3 linked regions of the Drosophila melanogaster genome follow. The protein of the gene in region 3 interacts with the protein of the main gene of each other region in a pairwise test. Each region holds a gene or a part of one and is shown on either strand. Other genes may lie near its edges.

The links. The genes of interacting proteins can lie anywhere in the genome.
Region 1: the proteins of Sf3b2 (region 3) and Spx interact in a two-hybrid assay, tested with the Drosophila melanogaster proteins (one large-scale study listed by BioGRID).
Region 2: the proteins of Sf3b2 (region 3) and CG18745 interact in a two-hybrid assay, tested with the Drosophila melanogaster proteins (one large-scale study listed by BioGRID).

What each region holds. Positions count from the first base shown.
Region 1 is NC_004354.4:6,252,553-6,258,231, reverse strand, and holds Spx (spliceosomal protein on the X), read right to left. Parts: upstream 2,411-5,679; 5' UTR 2,322-2,410; coding exon 2,288-2,321; intron 2,214-2,287; coding exon 2,130-2,213; intron 2,072-2,129; coding exon 1,146-2,071; 3' UTR 636-1,145; downstream 1-635. Other genes in the region: Rbcn-3A (Rabconnectin-3A), read left to right, coding at 2,884-2,970, 5,387-5,604, 5,669-5,679.
Region 2 is NT_033777.3:7,783,208-7,789,743, forward strand, and holds CG18745 (uncharacterized protein), read right to left. Parts: upstream 2,913-6,536; 5' UTR 2,747-2,912; coding exon 2,632-2,746; intron 2,111-2,631; coding exon 1,967-2,110; intron 1,910-1,966; coding exon 1,698-1,909; intron 1,631-1,697; coding exon 1,057-1,630; intron 992-1,056; coding exon 735-991; 3' UTR 636-734; downstream 1-635. Other genes in the region: CG18747 (uncharacterized protein), read right to left, coding at 80-194; CG18748 (uncharacterized protein), read right to left, coding at 3,162-3,334, 3,394-3,976, 4,037-4,245, 4,311-4,460, 4,522-4,636; CG18746 (uncharacterized protein), read right to left, coding at 5,165-5,415, 5,507-6,101, 6,252-6,460, 6,524-6,536.
Region 3 is NT_033779.5:3,024,180-3,032,473, forward strand, and holds Sf3b2 (splicing factor 3b subunit 2), read right to left. Parts: upstream 4,990-8,294; 5' UTR 4,909-4,989; coding exon 4,885-4,908; intron 4,828-4,884; coding exon 4,187-4,827; intron 4,130-4,186; coding exon 3,160-4,129; intron 3,104-3,159; coding exon 2,859-3,103; intron 2,796-2,858; coding exon 2,426-2,795; 3' UTR 2,073-2,425; downstream 1-2,072. Other genes in the region: Prp40 (pre-mRNA processing factor 40), read left to right, coding at 1-1,012, 1,078-1,443, 1,510-1,590, 1,653-1,937; CG17219 (uncharacterized protein), read left to right, coding at 5,241-5,753, 5,806-6,216; GABPI (beta4GalNAcTB pilot), read left to right, coding at 6,581-6,768, 6,821-7,714, 7,775-7,955; CG17258 (uncharacterized protein), read right to left, coding at 8,157-8,294.

The DNA of each region.
Region 1 (5,679 bases), on a different chromosome or scaffold from region 3:
ACCCCAAAAAAGCACACACCACGAACACACACACCACACACACTCACGCACACAGACGCATACAAAAAAACCAAACCAGTTCAGAATGTTTTTATGTTATTATTTTTTTTTATATATACATCTTTTTTAAGGTAAACAAAAAAGAAAGAAACAAATCGAAAACCAAAAGAAATTTAAATAAATGCGAGAAAATTGATGCGTAACGATTCGCTTGTACATCGTTATTGATTAAAACTATTACTATTACTATTACTATTACTATATGCCTCACAGTTTTTTTTTTGTTGTTGTTTGTCTTGCTTAACCAAAAAAAAAAAAAACAAAAGCAAAAGCAAAGAGACGAAGGAGAAAATAACGTTAAATATAACCATTTAAACGTAAAGCTAAAGTTAAGTTATTTTACCAAACGAAATGGAAGTTAGCACAGTGGGACTAAACCAAAATCGCTTAGGCAAGAATTCAATAGACGAAGAGTAAAAAATGAATAGTAGTCAAAACTATTGTAAATACTGTACTTGTATGTTTCCCATATTAATAAATTTATGCTAAACAAATTACAAGACCAAAAAACAAACGTGTTTCGAAAAAAAGCGGGACGGCATCATTTTGGGAATGCTAAAAAAGAATCCTAGTTTCATTTCAATAAATGGAAAATCATTCCTCAGTTTATTTTGAACTACAAGCTAGTTTCTATACATAACTTCAAAGGATTGGACATTAAATTAGAGGGAGCCCTTTAAAAATACTTAGTTAAATTACAAAAAAAAATTATCGCTTTCTTCGTATGTTCCATTCAAATTAAACTTACAGACTTGTTAATGTAAACGTTTTATGTTTATTGAAAATAGTTCCGTTTAAAAAAAAATCAAGAATCGAGAGTCAATTTATATCAAATCATTTCGTTCATTTCAAAATTCTATTCAAAGTTATTTAATTTCGTCTTGTAAGAATTCGAAGATTGTATTGCGACTACTAAATGGAAATACAATGATGATCTAAATGTCTCCCAGTGGTTTCCCGGTTGTTAAATGCATATTAGAAAGAAGAATGGAAATCTTAACATATCCCAGAGCAGGCTTCATTGATGAATCCTATTGATGTTTATTTCTCGTCTCGTCCAAATTGGTATACACTACACGCTAGACTTAGTACTGGTAGCCGTCGGGTTGATAGGGCCGTGCGTAGGGCGTGGGTGGGAAGGGCACGGGCGGCGGACGCCAGTTGGTGGGCGGTGGTCTGGGCGGAGGAGCAGGCATGCCGGGCGGTGCCCATGCATTTGGTTGCATCATGCGAGGCGGCGGCGGAATGCCCATTGCTGGCGGCAGCGGCGGCTGTCCGCCGGTCATCGGTGGCAACGGAGGCGGCGGTATCGTAGCTGGGAACGGTGCAGGCTGGGGAACGGGCGGCGGCGGTGCTAGCATGCCCATATTGTTATTCGAAACGGGCACCACCGGCGGCGGCGGCGCCATCATGGGTGGCGGCATCATCTGGCCCGGCATCTGGGCCGGGATCTGGCCCGGCATCTGGGGCATCATGGTTTGCACCGGTGCATCGGCGAACAATTGATGCGGCCGGTCTGCATGGGTCGATGGATTCTGGGCGGCCAACAGGCGCTCCGCAGCCGAACCGTGACGCTCGCCCTTGTGATCCTTCTTGAAGGCATAGGACACGGAAATGGGACGGTTGCACAGGTACTGGCCGTTCATGGCGTCCATGGCCGCATCGCTGGCCTCGAAGCTGGCAAAGTTGATGAACGCAAAGCTCTTAGACTTGCCCGTCTCTGGGTCTCGCATGATCTTCGGCGTCTGCAGTATAACGCCGAAGGCGGAGAACGTATCGTACAGCAGCTTCTCGTCCACTTCCACGTCTAGGTTGCCAATGAAGATGTTGGCGCCGACGTCCAGGTTCTTCTGATGCGCCGACGCCTTGTTCACGCGAATGGGCTTGCCGTAAAGCTTGATCATGTTCATGATCTTTATTCCATAGTCGGCGTCTTCCTCGCTGAGGAACTCGACGAATCCATAGCCCTGGTGCATTTGGGTGACACGATCCTTGGGCATGTGTACGTTCACTGCAAGCATGACGATTAGGGAGCTGCTAGGCACTATACATGTGTGTCCGGGACTTACCCACTGGTCCTGCCTGGACAAACAGCTCCCAAAGCAGCGTTTCCGACACCTTGTCGTCAAGACCGCCGGCATAGATGGTGGCATCTGTGGAAGGAACGGAAAAGGCGGGTTAAAGCGTCTCCCAAGTGGTGCAAATGTGGAGTGGAGGTCAAACCCACCTTGGTTGCGTTCAGCAATTGGACCTGCCGCCATTTCGGAGCTATTTTTATAAACAAAACCAAAAACTAATTTTCGGCGTTTTCAACATGCAAAAATGCTCGCAACACAACCCTGAATATCGAAACAGCCTATCGATACCATGAATCGATATATATTCCACGATTTCGTTTTTATTGGCAATCGAAATTGATATCGAAATCGAATCAAATCGAACGGATATTAGAAAAAATACTAAATATAGACGAAGCAGAATAATTAAATATAATTTCAATAGGTTAAAATATTCACCTCTATTTTTTGAAAATAAAATGAAATATTTTAATAATAATATTTTAATTAAATGATAAACAGTTTTTCGGTTAATTGGAGTAACCGTATTTAAATTACTCAGGCGATATTTCGCCTCCCATGCCGTGCCATCCCTAATATCGATAGTTCGATTGGCCGCGCTGGCCAAGAACCCAACTCTAATTTTTATGTAATGTCACTTTGTTGTCGTTTGTTACAAGAAGCAAGGAAAATTCGTGCTAGAAACCAAAGAACCAAGACCCCAATATCCGTGCGCTGTGATGTGATAATCAACTGTGTGTAAATTATGAATTGTCATCAGATTTTGAGCGGCGCTTGCAATGCAGGCGACCGGTGCTTCGCCATTGGCTCCGTGGAAGGAATACCATTTACAGTAAGCACAGAGCCATCCCAATCCGAATCCGGATCGAATTGGGTGAAAATCGGTGGCGGAATGTGCACCATTATCGGCCCAACCAGCCGGACACGCCCCCCAACCCCCCCACGCACACTTGGTTCAAAAGGTTGAACCGTTTCCAATTGGAAACGGGGCATCATCATCACCATCGTCGTCATTCCAACAAGAACCGATCGGAGCACGTCTTTAATGTTTTTATTTACATATTTGCGTGTGTGTGGTGTGCGTGTGTGCGGTGTGTGTGAATGTGTGTTGAATTTTATATCGTTTTTTTTTGCCACACTTGGTGGTCAATTAAAAAATCAAATGCAAATGATGAGATAGAGAACTTTTCGTGTTTGCTGGCTGGCGCTGTGCAAAAATTCGATAACAACAAAGTGTGCAGCTCGAGTGTGTGTGTGTGTATGTTGTGTGGCACAACAAATACAACACAATGTTTGTTTTCACCTGCATTTACATACCTGGCCAGCAATTAATTACATTTTTATTTTTTTAAGGTCAAGTGCTGGCAGTAAACAAGCCGCACGCACACACACACACACACATGCGCCAGTTGCAGTGAGAGTGTGTGCTTGAAAGTATATACGCATGTATATATATATAAGTGCGAGTATGTGTGTGTGTATACCCTTCGATTGGTCAGGTGGCCTTTGATGCCCTAATTTCGCAGCTTGCAGGCTGCCCACCTTCCCCTTCCCACGAACCCTTTCTCTATGGCAGCACCCCCCGCCCCGCAACCCCTTTCGCCAACCCACGTCAATGGCAAATTGGAATTATAAACGGCCATAATAAAAAAACGTGAGCACGCATTTATAATGTGCCTTATTCGATCCCTATACTATATACTACCAAATACTCTTAGCAATCTGGCCATTTTCGTGTCTAAAACCTTTAACGGTAACAGGAAAAAGTTGAAGAGCTCACTATAAACTTCGCTATGTCAACTTCGAGTTTATAAACATTACACCCATTGAGACATGTGTACTATATGTTTACTCAGAATGTTTATCCGATGTAGAGAACAAGGTCTGTGTTTTCCTGCAAAAACCCAAGGAAGCATAATTAACTACTGTGCACATTTTGCCATTCTAATGAGAGGCCCCACGGGGCGTATGTGTACATTATATATATATTCTATATTCTACTATATTCTATTCTGTAATCAGCACCGCCGTTGACACAGTCCCCCGTTCACAGACCGACCACCAACCACCCAACACCCACCCACTGCCCACCGCCTTGCGCCATATCATTTGCCATCATTTCAATTTGTTTAATTTCGAGTGTTTGCATATGTGTGGATGTATGTGTGTATGCATATATTTATTTAGTATATGATCGGCACGAACACACTCCCCTGGCGCCACCTAGCGTTTGGAAGGGGAAACCAAAAATAATAAACTCATTAAAACCGCATTTAAAGTCAAATTTTAATAGTATAGCAATACTACAATAGGATACCGTAAAAAAATCACTGTTTATTTTCAGCAGGTAACAAAGTTTTATATAAAGTAATCTTATCCGCGGGAACACTAATGGGTTGGTAAGCGAAAAGTTCGGAAAACCCTCCATTGAAAAGTATCATCGGTGTGTTTACTTAATGGGTAATATTCTCAGTTAAACGCATAAACCCATCATAAGCTGACATTTAAAGCAATGGGAAAACCGGAAAGCAAAAAGCTAAATATAAACACGACAGAAAAGCAGAGTAGTTGAACCTTTTTATGTCAAAAAGTTAGCAGGTGTGTAGTGTGTAGTGACGAAGTTGTTAATACCCTTGTTTTTATGAAATGATGTTTTTATTCATTAACTAGCTAAATAAGGCTCACATTCCAATATCGCGATAAGCCATTGCAAACAGATTCTCTGTTGATATTCCCCATTTATCGCTATTGTAACTAAACGGGGTATCTGTAATCTCCCGCATCAATGAGCCAATTATAAAGATAAAGCCTGCTGACTCAACCCTTTACACCCGCACTAATGATCCTTTGCCACAGATCGTCATGCGGTAATGTTTTAGAGATAATTAACATGAATAGTGTTTCCACTATAAATAGTGTACCCCCTCCCTAGCCCACTCGAACAGGGTATTCAAATTTCTGGCCACGATAATGAGCATATCAGCGACAGCTCAACAAATAAATCAAACACACTTTAGCTAACCAGGTAACCAAACATGATGTGGCAAGAGCCTTGTCATCAGCCAGCCTGATAAGCCAGTTAACTGGACAGTTGGGGTATTGTTATCGATATAAAGCTATATACCCACCCGCCCTATATACACATAGCCACTCAAAAACAAATAACTGAGAAAACACATACCGATCGTATAACGCTTAGATTAACTGCAGTACTCACAAAATCCCCATTTCGCCCCTCCTATTATCAGGCCTACGCCGCCGGCTGCAATGTGGTCATCCTGGCAAGCACTTTCGAGCGCGTCCAGATCATTCCGGGCGCCAACCATGGCTATGTCAAGATATCCGCCCTGGACTGCAGCACCGATACCGGAAAAATAGCAGCAGCCTATGAGAATAAGATATGCATTTTTGAGCCCACGCCGGTGATTGAGTCGAGCAAACACAATACCCACTTTCTGGATTACAGGTAAGCTAGCGATGGTATTAAGAAGCCCAAAGACATACTAACTTATTTTTTCATACCCCCATAGATGGGTGCAAA
Region 2 (6,536 bases), on a different chromosome or scaffold from region 3:
GAAGAGCTAACTTCAAGAAATTAGCCGAACTTCTGGGATTTGTTTTCAATGTAGTTTATTAAACGTTTACTATAATTACCTTGAACCTCCTTGGACCTGTCACATTTAAGGGTCGCGCATCCTTTTACCAGCTGACCGGCGTAGAAAGTACCATGTTTATTATTATCGAAGCTGATCTCACACGTAACAACCATTTTTCCCAAGATTAAATGTCCGAGCGCGAAAAAGCTAAAACCGATGTTATGGGGCAACTCACTGCGACTAATTTAAGTACAAAACTTCTGGACTGCTTGCGGTGCGACCGCGTCGTTAGATAAGCGATAAGAACCATAACTTGGACCCGATGTCGGATTCGGATTTCACCGGGAACGATACGGAATCGTAGTCCAAACTGTATAAGAGTCGATAATAAGTTCCCTTGCGAACTACTCGGACGTTCACTTGGGGTTTTCGGTCTGTTATCAGAGTTGGTTGTCGAGACCTTGGCACTGGGGAAGTTATTGCCAGCATTCATCGAGGGGTTTTCAAGAGGAAAGAAAAGCGTCGTGTTTGAAAATCTTAGACTACATATGGTAATATATATATAATTTCGAATAATTTCAAAAATCGCTCCACCCTGTACCAGTCTTGGAATTGTGATAAAATGTTTATTATAAAGTGTTAGGTGGAACTTTTGCCTTGTGTGCAAATGCTTTATCGCCCTTACATTTCTAGTATAGTATTTATTTTCGTTCTCATAGCCACGTTCCCTTGTCTTTGTCCACATCCATGGCCGGATTGACAAAGGCCCTCTCTGCCATATAATTCTGCGTATAATCCGTCGGCGGCGGAGCTGAGGGACTGGGTATGTCGAAGACCGGATAGAGTGGCTTATAAGCACCGCCATCCAAACTGAGAGTATTGGGCGGTACTGGTTCCGGGTCGTCTAAGTCGTCTGACCTCGTTGCAGCCGTGCTGCGCATGTGAACAGCCTCCTGATAGTTGGGCGGAGCTAAAAACACCAACAAAAAACATAAATTGATACTGTAATTAGTTTATGGATTCTAGTAAACTCACGAATGGATGCGTCGACAGACCATGGACTTGAAGAGTTTGGAGCAGTGGCTACTTCTTCAACAGCCAGCTCATTAACATTCAGCTGGGGGACGAAACCCCGAGGCTGGATTGGTACGTGTTGTGCAAGAGGGACACTGCCAATGGTCAGCGGAATGGTGACAACCTCGTTGTTGTGGCAACCCTTCACCCTGGCCTCCACCTCCACTTGGTAGGCGATCTGGATGATGCCGCACAGGTTGAAGCAGGTGGGCGGAGTGGCCGGGACTCTGATCTCATAGCTAAATAGCTTCTTGCAGTTCCTTTGCACAGCGTCCCCCTTGAAGGTGTTTACCACCAACCTCTCGGACGTGGTATTGGGCATCGAAGGTGGCTTACTGTGGTATGTCACCAGCATCACAAAACTAATGAGGAGCTGCTCCACCGGAATGTGGCTATCGTTTGTGACCAGCACGCTAAGGGGAACATTCTGGCCAGGTACAAATCCTGTCTGTGGAACGGTCAGTTGGAGGGCCAACGGATCTGATCGGCAAGGCCAGCAGCAGTAGGTCTTCGAGGTTTCACTGTGGGCGGGTACCTACATAACATATTCAATTAGCTTAGGTTCTAACAGATATGTATTCGTGTTTGATTTTGATTCGTACCCTTAGCAGTGGACTATCGAAGTTCAAGTCCATCACTTTTAGCACCGTAAAGCATCGGGTATAGCTCTGATCGAATTTCCAGGGCCTGACGAGGGTTACGGTTGCCATGTACCGCACCCTGCCGTGTGATCCCTCGAAGGACGAAGGACATTCGGTGGGAATCAGGCACACGAAGTTGTAAGTGTGAATTCCCGCTTCAATGGATACTTGGCCTGCAGATATGATTAGCAATTAGATGGACTTTCTTGCCTAAATGGAGCTTTACGTACTGCTCAGATTGGATCCCACCAAAAATGTTTTGGACGCTATGTAATCCTCGCGGCCGCAGAATGTGCGACGTCTCCTCCTTCTGTTTGTGGTCACCCTTTCAATCCAACGCGTCTCTGCGTATCCGGTTATATTCAAGGTGATGGCTGCGGAGAAGAAGTTGATAAGGTATTTCTTAGAAAGGTATTTTAGCTCAATGTACTGTAACGAATTGAATTTATTCTTTAATTGTTTTTTAAGTCATCTAAACGATGATTATGGTTTTGACAAATTAAAATCTTTTAATCATACAGAATTACTGTTATGCATTCACATGAAATATCCATAAAAACTTACAAAAGCAATCGTTGTATATATGAAAAAGTCAAATATGTATCCACCCCTATTTAATATTAATTAATGCGAAACCCATTGATTATTTAAAAATAATTTAATCTTATCGAACGCAAATATTATCATTGATGCATTTGTGTATGTTCGCCAAACACCTTCATGTAGACATTAGATTTCGCACGTGTGGTTCTCTACTCACTATAAATATATGAGTCACCGGACTAAATCTTCGTTTAAAAACATTCAACCGCACTTTTAAGTTGGACGATAAGATAAGAATGACTCATGGCATATTGTCAAATTCCAAAGGTATCTCAAATCAACTGCCCCTCACCTTTTACCAACTTCATCTTGTCCAGCTTCAACGTAACTCTGCCAGTGAGTACCTCGCCCCCAAAGTAGGTGCCATGGGGATTGTTATCGAAATCAATTTCACAGGTAACAGTCATAATTGTAATTGTAACCGCAATCGTGTATTTATGGGCCGATCCTACTCTGATGCCGCTGCAAACACGACTGATTTGATTTTAATGCCAATGTTCAGTTATTTACTCCCTAAATTCCGAGAACTCCAGACAGAGTGGAAGGAACCGCTTTTCGCGACGATAGCACCCACATGCCCACTTGGCTGCCAGAAATCAACTGAGAATAAAACAAACATTGCGGTTGTTCTATATTGGTAGCGATGGCCAGAAAAACTTTATCTTATCGCTGTCACAATTTTGAATTATACATTTTGCCAAATGCAGTCGAGCAGCAAATAGCCCTCATATCTCCGGAAAAATCCCAAGGACTTCTTGACAAGCAGGCGTGGGATGGGATGTCCAATGGTTCTCAAATGTAGAATAGTTTTTTCGCCCGCCTTCATTTCTTTTCCTCTTTATCCAAAGCCGCTTCCTTGCTCTTTTCTACAGTTGAAGTAGACAAATCGAAGACAGGATACAACGGCTTGTAAGACTTCTCTTGCGCATTTCCCGACTCTGACTGTTTCTCAGAGTCACTATGGGAATGCATGGCCTCGGCGTAGTTCGGTGGCGCTATAAAAATCGTATGGTTACATAATTGATATGGACATATTAAAACAAGGACAGCTTACATAGTGTGGATCCTTCTGACCAGGGATATGGGGGAGCAGCTGGAGCAAAAGCTCCCTCTCCCTCAATCAAAGTCAAAGCTCTTTGTTCTGGAGCCTCTGGCCCAGAGCTCTGCGGCGTATATTGCACCGCTGACGGCGATATCGGAACACCACAAATAGTCACCGGCATTATCAGAGTTCCATTGATATGCATGCCCTTCACCTTGGCCACAACCTCGATCTGGTATCCGATCTTGATAATGCGGCACAGATGGAAACATGAAGGCGGAGTAGAGGGTATCATCAGTTGGAAGTCGTACATTTTCCGGGAGTTCCTCAAAACTCCATCTGCCTTTAACTTGGCCACGGACTTGCGCTCGCACTTGGAACCTGAACTTAGATCACTGTAGTAGGTGATCATCATTGATAGTCCAACCTTCACTTCGTGCACCCGAATTTTGCTTTCGTTACCAATCAGAACATTTGCGGGTACCGTCTGACCAGGCACAAAGCCAGTCTGCGGCAAATTCAGCTCCAGCGTTAGAGGATCCGATCGGAAGGGCCAGACCCCAAAGGTTTTCTCAGTCTTGGCCTGCACGGGAACCTTAAAAGCGATTACATTGTTATAGCAGACCTCCAAAATTTCGTTTCATGTTATATTTACCTGTGAAACAGAGTTATAGGTGTTTATGTCCATCACTTGAATAACGGTGAAAGCTCTTGAGAAAATGCTGTCGTACTTCCACGGCTGAATGATATTGACATCCACCATATAACGTATACGACCATGAGTCCCCTCGAACGATGAGGGACAATTGATTGGAATTGGACAAGCAAAATTGTAGGACCTAGTTCCCGGCTCCAAAGCCATTTCTTTGCGAATACATAAAATGAAATTTTGACCAATTTCAATAACAAATTATCACTCAATATTTTACCAGGGCTAATTTCGGAACCCAAAAGATAAACTTTACTGGAAAGGTATTTCTCAAATCCATTGTACGACTCTGAAGTGGACTTGTTATTCGAATCAGTCTTGCTTTCGGTCCAATGGGTCTCTGCATAACCTTTTAGCTTAAGTCGAATTGCTTAATATGTAAAATGTTGCGAGAATTATATGAAGTATCGCAATCACAACTGAGTACTTACCTTTGATTTGAATCGCCTTATCAGTGCTCAGAGTCACTTGACCAGCAACCATTTGGCCCGCGTAAAAAACCCCTTGCGTGTTGTTGTGAAAAAGAATTTGGCAAATTATTCCCATGGTTTTTTATGGTTAAAGCACAAGTTTTAATGAATTTAAGTCTGTCGTTAATTGTTAAGATGTTTTCCCTTCAATTGCCGCAATCAAACTGAACTAAAAAGTTTCTTACCACTTATTTTGTGCAACGGAGAGCTTTTGGTAATTTATCTTATCAGTACACCCATAAATCTATTTATTGGTAAACCCAAAAACCCCCTACAATTTTTTTATACAATAAATAGATCATTCGTAACCAGCTAACATGAGAACTGAATTATCAGGTCCAAAAACAGCTGATACTTATATTTGTGGTGTAAAAACAAGTGCCCCCAAATGAGTTGAGGCTCTCGCATCTGAAGATAGCAATTTCACTCAAATAAATATATTAACTCATCGATAAGATATCGCACAACTCAGCAAATATTGCTCACTGAGGTCGACGAAAAGTTCCCGCAGTTTGCGTTCAACCACAGGGTAATTGTCATGTCTGTTGTATTTCGATTACTTATTAATTATTTACAGAGTGGGTACATTCATTTTTAAGCCCTTCTAAAGCCAAGTGCTTTTTTCTACACCTTCATTGACATAGCCGCCATCAGTCTTGGGTTCATTTGCTCTCAAAGTCATTTCGTCCACTTGGTTTGACAAATCAAAGACTGCGTATAAGGGTGAAAACACAATTGTTTCAGCTTTCCTCTCTTGTGATCCTTTTACACCTCTTTTCTGAGACTTTTTCTTCGATTTCGAGAACTTGTGCGGATCCGGGGAGATGTGTTTAGCCTCAGCATAACTCGGCGGTGCTAAAATAAATAAGTGATTCCTTGAATTATGATCTTTAAATTCGAATATGGAGTTTTGTATGAATTTCCTTAAAGCTCCTATTTTACTCACCAATTGAAGGATCCGCAGCCCAAGGATTGGGGCTTCCGAGTGCTTCTCCATTCTGTTCGCTGCCAATTAAAATCAAAGCCTTCGCATCTAGCTGCTGGGGTGGCAGAACTTCACCCCAAGTCCTTGGTTCTTTTTGGAGTTGCTTCGTTAGCGGGACACTTCCAATAGTTATGGGCATGTGAAGGGACTGGCCGCCATGACAACCTTTAACTCTGGCCTCCGCTTCCACCTGATAGCCGATCTGAATGATGCTGCATAGATTAAAGCAGGTTGGCGGAGTTGGCGGCACCTTAAGATCGAAGGTAAACTGCTGCCGGCATTTGGTCGACACACCTCCGCCTGTTTTCAGGACCATCTCAAAACGGTCCTTGTTGGTGTCCGCGGACGGGGGTTGACTGTAGTAAATCACCACCATAGTCAGTTTTACGGTTATGTCCTCCACGGCTACACCACTGTCATTGGAGACCATCACCTCCACCGGCACGATCTGTCCTGGCACAAAGCCACTCTGTGGAACAGAAAGTCGCATACTGAGTGGCGACGAGCGGCAGGGAAAACAGCAGAAAGTTCGCTGGGACTCCACTTGACTAGGTACCTAAAATTTATAAAATATAAAAATATAAAATTTTATACTTGACCATGGTACAACCAAAGACACTAGAATTAGACATTATTCTAATGTCTTTGGTACAACACATGGTACAGTGGACTATTCCATAGTGTGTGGAGAGACTAAGAAACATACCCTCAGCATTAGGCTTTCGGAGTTCAGGTCCATCACTTTGATCACAGTGAAGCATCGATTAAAGTTCAGATCGAACTTCCACGGACGCACGAACCTCACGTTCACCAGATAACGTATCCGACCTAGTGTCCCCTCGAAAGAAGAGGGACATGTGATGGGCAACTGACAGGCGAATCTATACGAGCTGGTGCCAGGCTCAATAAGCACCTCTGAAATGGAGCTTTGATTTCATTATCTCTAGATTTATGGTGATTTATCATCTTCGAACATACCTATGCTGGAACT
Region 3 (8,294 bases):
TAAGGATAAACGCGAGGCCATCGAGTCCTTTAAAGAGCTGCTGCGGGACCGCAATGTGCCATCAAATGCGAACTGGGACCAGTGTGTGAAAATCATATCAAAGGATCCGCGATACGCAGCCTTCAAAAATCTGAACGAGCGCAAGCAAACATTCAATGCCTACAAGACGCAGAAGATTAAGGACGAGCGCGAGGAGTCTCGCTTAAAAGCCAAGAAGGCAAAAGAGGACTTGGAGCAGTTCCTTATGTCCAGCGATAAGATGAACTCGCAGATGAAATATTTTCGTTGTGAAGAAGTATTTGCCGGAACGCGAACATGGACCGCGGTGCCGGAACCGGATCGGCGAGATATATACGAGGACTGTATATTTAATTTAGCGAAGCGAGAGAAGGAAGAAGCGCGGTTGCTGAAAAAACGAAACATGAAGGTTCTGGGCGAGCTGCTAGAGTCGATGACTTCAATCAATCATGCCACCACCTGGTCAGAGGCTCAGGTTATGCTATTGGACAACGTAGCATTTAAGAATGATGTGACTCTGCTCGGAATGGACAAGGAGGACGCCCTAATTGTCTTCGAGGAGCACATTCGCACCTTGGAAAAGGAGGAGGACGAGGAACGTGAGCGGGAAAAGAAGCGCATGAAGCGACAGCAGCGCAAAAACAGGGACTCCTTTCTTGCGCTGCTCGACTCCCTGCATGAAGAGGGAAAGCTCACTTCCATGTCGCTGTGGGTGGAGCTGTATCCCATCATATCAGCCGATTTGCGATTCTCCGCTATGCTCGGCCAGAGCGGGTCTACACCCCTGGATCTTTTCAAGTTCTATGTGGAAAACCTGAAAGCCCGCTTCCATGATGAGAAAAAAATAATAAGGGAGATCCTCAAGGAAAAGGCATTTGTTGTCCAAGCGAAGACATCCTTCGAGGACTTTGCCACGGTCGTGTGTGAAGATAAGCGGTCAGCCAGCCTGGACGCGGGAAATGTGAAGCTCACATACAACTCCCTGCTGGAAAAGGTAACTATGGAGTGGGAAAAAAACCTTATATCAATAAAACTCATTTGTGTATTTATAATCTACAGGCCGAGGCCATTGAAAAGGAACGGATGAAAGAGGAGGTGCGAAGGTTGCGGAAACTAGAAAATGAAATTAAAAACGAATGGCTGGAGGCGAACGTCTCAGTGGCCGAACCCTATGAGAGCGCCAAGAAGCTGGTAGAACACCTTGAAGCATTTGCCCTTTATGAAAAAGAAATCGGTGTGGAGAAGATCTGGGAGGACTTTGTTAAGGAAAGCGAAGATGCGTGCAGCCATCATCACTCGCGATCACGAAAATCTAAGAAAAACAAGAAGCACAAAAAACGAGTACGGTCCGTCTCGAGATCAGACATCGAGAATGAGCATATAGAAGTGGAGAAGTCCAAGCGAAGGCGCTCCAAGACACGATCGGTTAGTATGCTAAACATAACATTAAATGCAACTTGTAAGTTAAATAATAACGTCACGCACATACAGCATTCCCTGACCTCAATTGGCAGCATCGAGAGCGAAAAATTGCTGAAGAAGAAAAAGAAGCGCAAGAACAAACTGCGAGGTGTACGTAGCAAGTCGGCCCAGTCCTTGGACAACTATACTATCTAACATGGCTTACATTTCAGTCCTCCTGCGAATCGGATGTTCCAGGCATTCAATCGCCGGGAACTCAAGCTCTACTTCAGAACGACTCAAACTCGCACTCACCCGCAAAGAAAAAGAAGAAGGAGAAGCGAGCTAAGAAGGACAAGCGACACAACAGGCACAATCGATCCGGCACGCCCCTTAGTCCTGCCCAGTCCGTCGAGTCGTCTGGATCGCGAAACGAGGAGCTGACGTTAAGTGACGGCGAGCTGGAATCGAAGCGAGCGGCTCTTCTAGCCCAACTCAGCGAGCAGCTCGACGAGTGACCAGCTGACAGGCGTTGAGTCAAAGCCGACATCGACATCGTGTGGCACTCTCTAGCTCTAGCTTAAGGAGGATCGGGAGAGGTAGCTAGCCCTGGACTCAGTTGCTGGACAAGTTCTCTTTTCAGTCCTTGCCTTCCACTGCACTCTGCTTCGTTTGGTTTAGATACTGTCCTGGTCCCAGCACAAACCACACAGCGAACCACAATTGTAATTTCTTAGTCTCAATAAGTTTCAATGTATAAATGAGAATTAAACCTAACGAGTCAAATTTTAAGTTATACGCAAATGATTTTGATTCTGCATCAAAATAAACAAATTACGATAGAAATTACAAGATAAGATCTTTTGTGTTAACTTCACTTTTTGCAGAACCTATTTTAAATCCTCGCATTTAAATTGAATGACGCGAACTTATTGTAGTTTTTACTATGTTTAATGACATCCTTGACAATCGCACAAATGGAAAAGTTGTATTTCTTGTTGTCAAACTAAAACTTGAACTCCTTGTACTTCTTTGTGGTCTTGGCCGGATCCGTTTGCTGTCGCTTGCGCTTCGATTTCTGCCGCGCCACATGTTCGGCCAACATGTCTGACAGATCCTCCTTTTGCAGGTGATTCTGCTGCTCACGCATTTGTTGCTCATAACGCTGGGCCATTGCGTCATTGTCCAAGTCCAATTCGCTAGGATCGAGAGCCAGTTCCACAATGCCCTCGCGATCTGTGGTTGATCGAACTGGGGGCTGTTTGTTAGCCCCACTGCCACTGACGTCGTAGACATGGGTTGATCCCATCATGGAAGCCCCTATGCGGTCGGTGCGCTTCTCAGGCAGCACTTGATACAGAACAGGAGTTTCGTTGCTAGGAGAAGTTGGAATAATGGGCTTAATCGTGATGTTATTTTAAAAATATTAGTTCACTTACTCCTCCATCTCGGCTTCAATTTTCTTCTTGCGAAGCTCAATGTTCTCGGGGGTTTCCATGCCAGCTGGAACACTGGTGAGTCCAGAGGGTGTTACTAGTCCCTCTACTGGCGTTACCAGGCCAGTCTCATCCTGCTGATCGCCCAAGTCCTCGCCATCTTCCTCTTCCTCCTCGGATGATTCTTCTGACTCCGATTCCAGTTCGCCCCATTGGTTACGTTCAATGTCAGCTTCGTCTACGCCATTCTATAAAAAAACAATGACATTAAAACAAGAAGTGCTACGCGAATGTTGCCACTCACATCAAGGTCCAATATGTTGGTTCCAAATACGTCACCGTACAGCGGTTTTCCGTTCTCATCCACTGGCGGCTTGCCCCAACCTCCGGCATGATAACCGAACGAGGTTCCGTCTGGGATCGGAGCATTCAGGCCAGGAATTTTAAGATTCGGATACGAGGGCGGCGGCCCGTAGCGCTGTTGAGCAATGAGCCATGGTGGCGGAATCTTGTGTGAGTTGGGTCCCACGGGCATTCCCAGAGCAATGCGCAACTCCTCGGAGAGATCTCCGGGCTTCTTTTCCTTAAGGCGTGTCTCAAACTCCTTGCCCTCGTAGTAGAGGTCGCCATGAATGGTCATGCGGGGCTTGGTCTGCCACTTGAAGAAGGCATCGTGAAGTTTCTGGTAGTCAATGTCAATTTTGCCCATCTTGGGACGGACGCGTTCACGCATCTTGGCCTTGAGTGTCTTGGCGTCCTCTCGTTCCTGCAACGATTCGCGCATCTCCATGATGCCCGTCTTTTTGATGAAGGCGGGGAGATCGAACGGAGGCTTCTCAATACCCCTTTTGCCCTGCAGATATTTTCGCTTGAAGCACCAATGCCGCGGCACTTGTACTGTGTTCCTATAGGCTTTCAGTTGAACCAGTAGTTTGGGATCTCTCGCTGTGACATCGTGCATCTCCACTACGTCAGGTCGAGAGACCAGTTGTTTCAGTTCTGCCACACTCAAACGGGTCAGTTTCTTAAGTTTCCGCTTGGACAGCTTCTCCTTGTCTTCCTTGCGCTCTTCGTCATCATCGCCGTCATCGTCCTCGTCCTCGAGCTGTTTGTCTGTAGCCTTTTTGTCCCTGGGATGGGACTCAGAATCGTGCGAAGATTTGTCCTTCTCCACAGGCTTTGGTTTGTTTTCCAGCTTGAAGATTTCGAACACACGATAAAACTGGCGGTACATTGGCGCCAAATCGGCAATGGTTATCTTTTCGGGCACATATCTGAAAGGGATAAGAGTTTATTAGTGTGGTTCCTCGGAACGAGCTGCTATGACTTACTCAATGGTCACATTTTCATCATTGGCCTCGCCAGCCTTTTTGTCCGTATCTTTCTCATCACTACGATCCTTCCTGCGCTTGCTGCGACTCTCTTTGCGTTTGTCCTTCTTTTCCTTTTCGGCAACCTGTTCGTCCTCGCTGCCATGGGCTTTTGTCTCCGAGTCCTTGGCCTCCGGTTCGTTCTCCTCCGCTTGGGCCAACTGCTGCTGCCGTGCGAACTCAATCTGGTGGCGTATCTTCCTGTTCTGCTTCTTTCGCTTCTTCTTCTTTTTGTTACGCTCCGCCTTGCTCTGCTTGCCGGTCTTTTGGCTGGCACTCCCGTTCACCTGGTTATCCGCATCCTCCTCGCTGTCCTCGCCCACATCCGCTTCGTCGCCGTCCTGGGTAGCACCCCCACTGCCACCCTGCGAATCGGCGTCCACCGTGAACTCGGCTGCCCTTTGATCCTTCAAAGCCAGAACGTCCTCCAAGGCCTTGGGCAGGACCAGTTCTCCGGGCGTTTTTTCGGCATCAACAGCATCTTCGGAGGCATCGCCGTCGCCATTGGCATTACCATTGCCGTTCTCATTTCCATTGGCCGCCGCACTTTCGTGCTGCTGCTGGTCGAAGCGAATGGACATGAGCGGCGTGGGTTGGCCGGGCTGGAAGGATTGGCATTCAATAGATGTCTTGCCGATTGGGTTTCGCAGCAAACTCACCTCGTTGTTCAACTGGTCCGCCATAAATTAAATTAATCTTTAAAAACCCAAACCGAGCCGAAATTTTTTTATAAACCACAATTCTAGTGATGCGCGACAAGATATTTTTGTACCACCGAGACATATCGATATATTCGATATGAAAATGCGAGACCCTAAATCAAGCTGGCAACGCAAAGGACAGGGCGATCTTAGTACGAAAAGCGTGGTTTTTGCCGACAGCTGATTTAAGGAGGTAAATATTAAAATATTTCATAGATTACCAGTTTAACAATGCTAATTTGTCCATTTCAGTACGATATTTAACAAGCAGTATCTGCTAAAATCAAAACAGTTCAACACCCTACCTTCTAAGCATGTTCAAATTTAATTTTGATGTGAAGGCGGAATCCTCGGAAGATCCAGAGGCCGTTAAAAATGATATTTTTAGCAAGCAGGAAAATTCAGAAGAACGTGAGTCGGGTATCACAAAGGATATAGATTGGTACAATTCGGAGAAAGTACAACCACTGGATAACCTAATTTCGGCAATGGATTTCTATGAGCTTAACGCCAAGGAAATGGAGGTGGGAAAGATGACGATAAAACATCTTGTGGCCGGGTTTCTGCTGGAGGATTTAAAGGAGCAATCCCACTTGGTAAACCTGGATCTCAGGAAGTCTGAGGAAAATCATTCAGATCTGATTTCCGGTGTCTACGAGGGCGGTGCTAAAATATGGGAATGCACTGAAGATCTTCTACTATATCTATCCGAAAAGTACGAGGACTCATTCTGGAAGGAGAAAAGAGTCCTAGATTTGGGATGTGGCTGCGGATTGCTGGGTATATATGCTATGAAACACGGCGCACGGGTGGATTTTCAGGACTACGTAAGCAAACAATAAGTCTTGAAATAGTTTGGTTGCAATCATATATTTTCAGAACAAAGATGTGCTGGAATACATAACATATCCAAATATCCTGCTAAATTTGGACGACTCTTTATCTGAAGATGAAAAGCTGAAATTTTTAGACAACAGTACAACCTTATATTCTGGAGATTGGTCTCATTTTGCTGAACTATCAAGGGATGTGGCGAAATACGATCTAATACTTACCTCTGAGACTATATACAATATTGCAAATCAGCAAAAGCTCTTGGATACCTTTGCTGGTCGCTTAAAATCCGATGGAGTCATTTTGGTTGCCGCAAAATCTCATTATTTTGGAGTTGGTGGCGGCCTGGAACAGTTTTCAGAGAACATTAGGCTGGGAAATGTTTTCCAAAGTGAGAGTGTTTGGCAGGCAGACGAAAACTTAAAAAGAGGAATCTTGCAATTGAAATTTAAATAAAATATATTTTGGAATTATTTATAACACAATTCTTAAACTTTGTAATAATGATAAGAGATCTAAGTTCAAAACATAGCGGTAGCATAAAACAAGTTGGCAGCCCACTTTACACGGGGCACCCTGTAAGGGAGGGACGTTCGTCAGCTGTGTTGTTGTAGTTGTCGTTATTCCGGAGAAATTGTAAGCAAATTCGTTGTACTCCAATAAAACAATTAAAATGGACCCACCCGGATCTGATAATTACTTTTGAAACATTTCTCCACTCGGCCAGTAGGGCGTGCACTAATCTAATCTAAACTGTTTCCGTACACGCTGCTCGGAACTCATTAAAAAACGTTCGCCGCGCCATTTCCTGTCCAAATCGATGTTCTTGATGACAGCCGGCACCTCCAATTTTCTTTCTGCAGCCTGGAGATCAGAGGCTGAGGAGTCCAAGAGTAAGGAGAACGGGAGTCTCTGCTGCTGCGAGTACGTGGCTGAGGACAGTCGAGAGCGATCCCACATCCTAGGATGCTGTTGTAACTGCGTGGACTTCGACTTAGTTTGCACAAGGTAGGATACATAAATGAAAGGCCGTCTACAATTAAAATTAAATTTACCACAGACTTGTCACCTGCCGAGCCATTGATCGAAGGAACATCGACGGCATGCTCATCGCCTTCCAGGATAGACTGCGCTTGCCATGGCGCGGAGGAGCCAAGCGAATCTCGCCCGCAGCCGTTGCTCCCGCCTTCATTGTCCCCCTCATGCTGGGATTGGCCACTCTGAACTCAAAGACCGCCATAGTGCTGATGCTCACGCTGGTGGGCTTCACCATCTGGGGCATGGAGCTGGCTAAGCGGACCGCCACGCGGACAAACTTCTTTTTGAGCTGGCTGGTCTTCTCGGTGTTCTACATGATCATCATATTTGAGTTTCAGGTTCCTCTGCTGGAGCTGGCTCCGGAGGAGAACTACGCGTTAATGTTCTTCTCCTGTGCCGCTTTGTACTGCCTCTATTCCGCCAAGGCACTGTCGCCCTTGAATCTTGTTTCTGCTCAATACGGAACCACGCCCAAGGATGAGCTGCCTGGGATCGCCGAGGCTTCGAGTGGCGAGGAGCAGGCAGAGGCCCAGACCACACTCCAGATGGAGAGTGTGCTGAGTTTGGATGATGACGAGGTGGGGGATATGGACACTGCTGAGCGATCTGGCTTGATGCACGGTCAGCCCAATATCTGCGAGATCTGCCGGAAGGTTACTCCAAGGCGGGCATACCACTGTCCCGTCTGCGGAACCTGCGTGAAGAGGCGCGATCATCACAGCTACTGGCTAAACTGCTGCATTGGCGAGCGGAACTACGTGTGGTACATTGTTGGACTGGCCCTGTCGGAGATCGCTCTGCTGCTCGGCGCAAACTTGACCCTCACTTCCATTTGCCATCCGTTTATGGTGGTGCGACCGCTTGGTTATCCAGTTCTTTTGCCCGACGACTGCAGTGAGGTGTTCGAAGGCTTCGAGTGAGTAGATACTTTGTTTCTATTTCCAATTAACGTTTCTTATGCACACTCTGTTTCTAGCCTCGGAATCTCCTTTGTGGTGGCTTGCTACGCTCTGCTCATTTCTTCCTACATAGCCTTTATACTCGCTAGACAGGCTTACTTGTGGTGGAAGGGATCCACCTTGCACGAATACAAGCGCACCTCCAACGCCGCAGGACGCAACAGAATCTGGAGCAACTGGCGAGCCATCTTAAAGTGACTACTCACACACCAAAAAGCAAAAAGCACAAGCATGTCGCTTAGATACTAAAGTATTTCAAATCTTAACGCTGTTCTCGGTAGTCGTACTTAGTCGTACCGCTTTGAAGTCTTTATTGCAATTTAAAATTGATTTAAAATAAATATAATTAAGTAACTCAAAACGCACAACGAACAAGAGTAATAATGTTCTATCTAGTAGCTACCACAAGCTGTCCTCTCTCGGTTTGTAGTCAGGCAAGAGCTCCCATATTTTCATGCGCCACCGCTGGCGTCGCTCCTCCGTTTCCTTCTCGATCTTCAGGATTTGCGGCAAGCGTCGCCAGCAGTCCAGGACCTT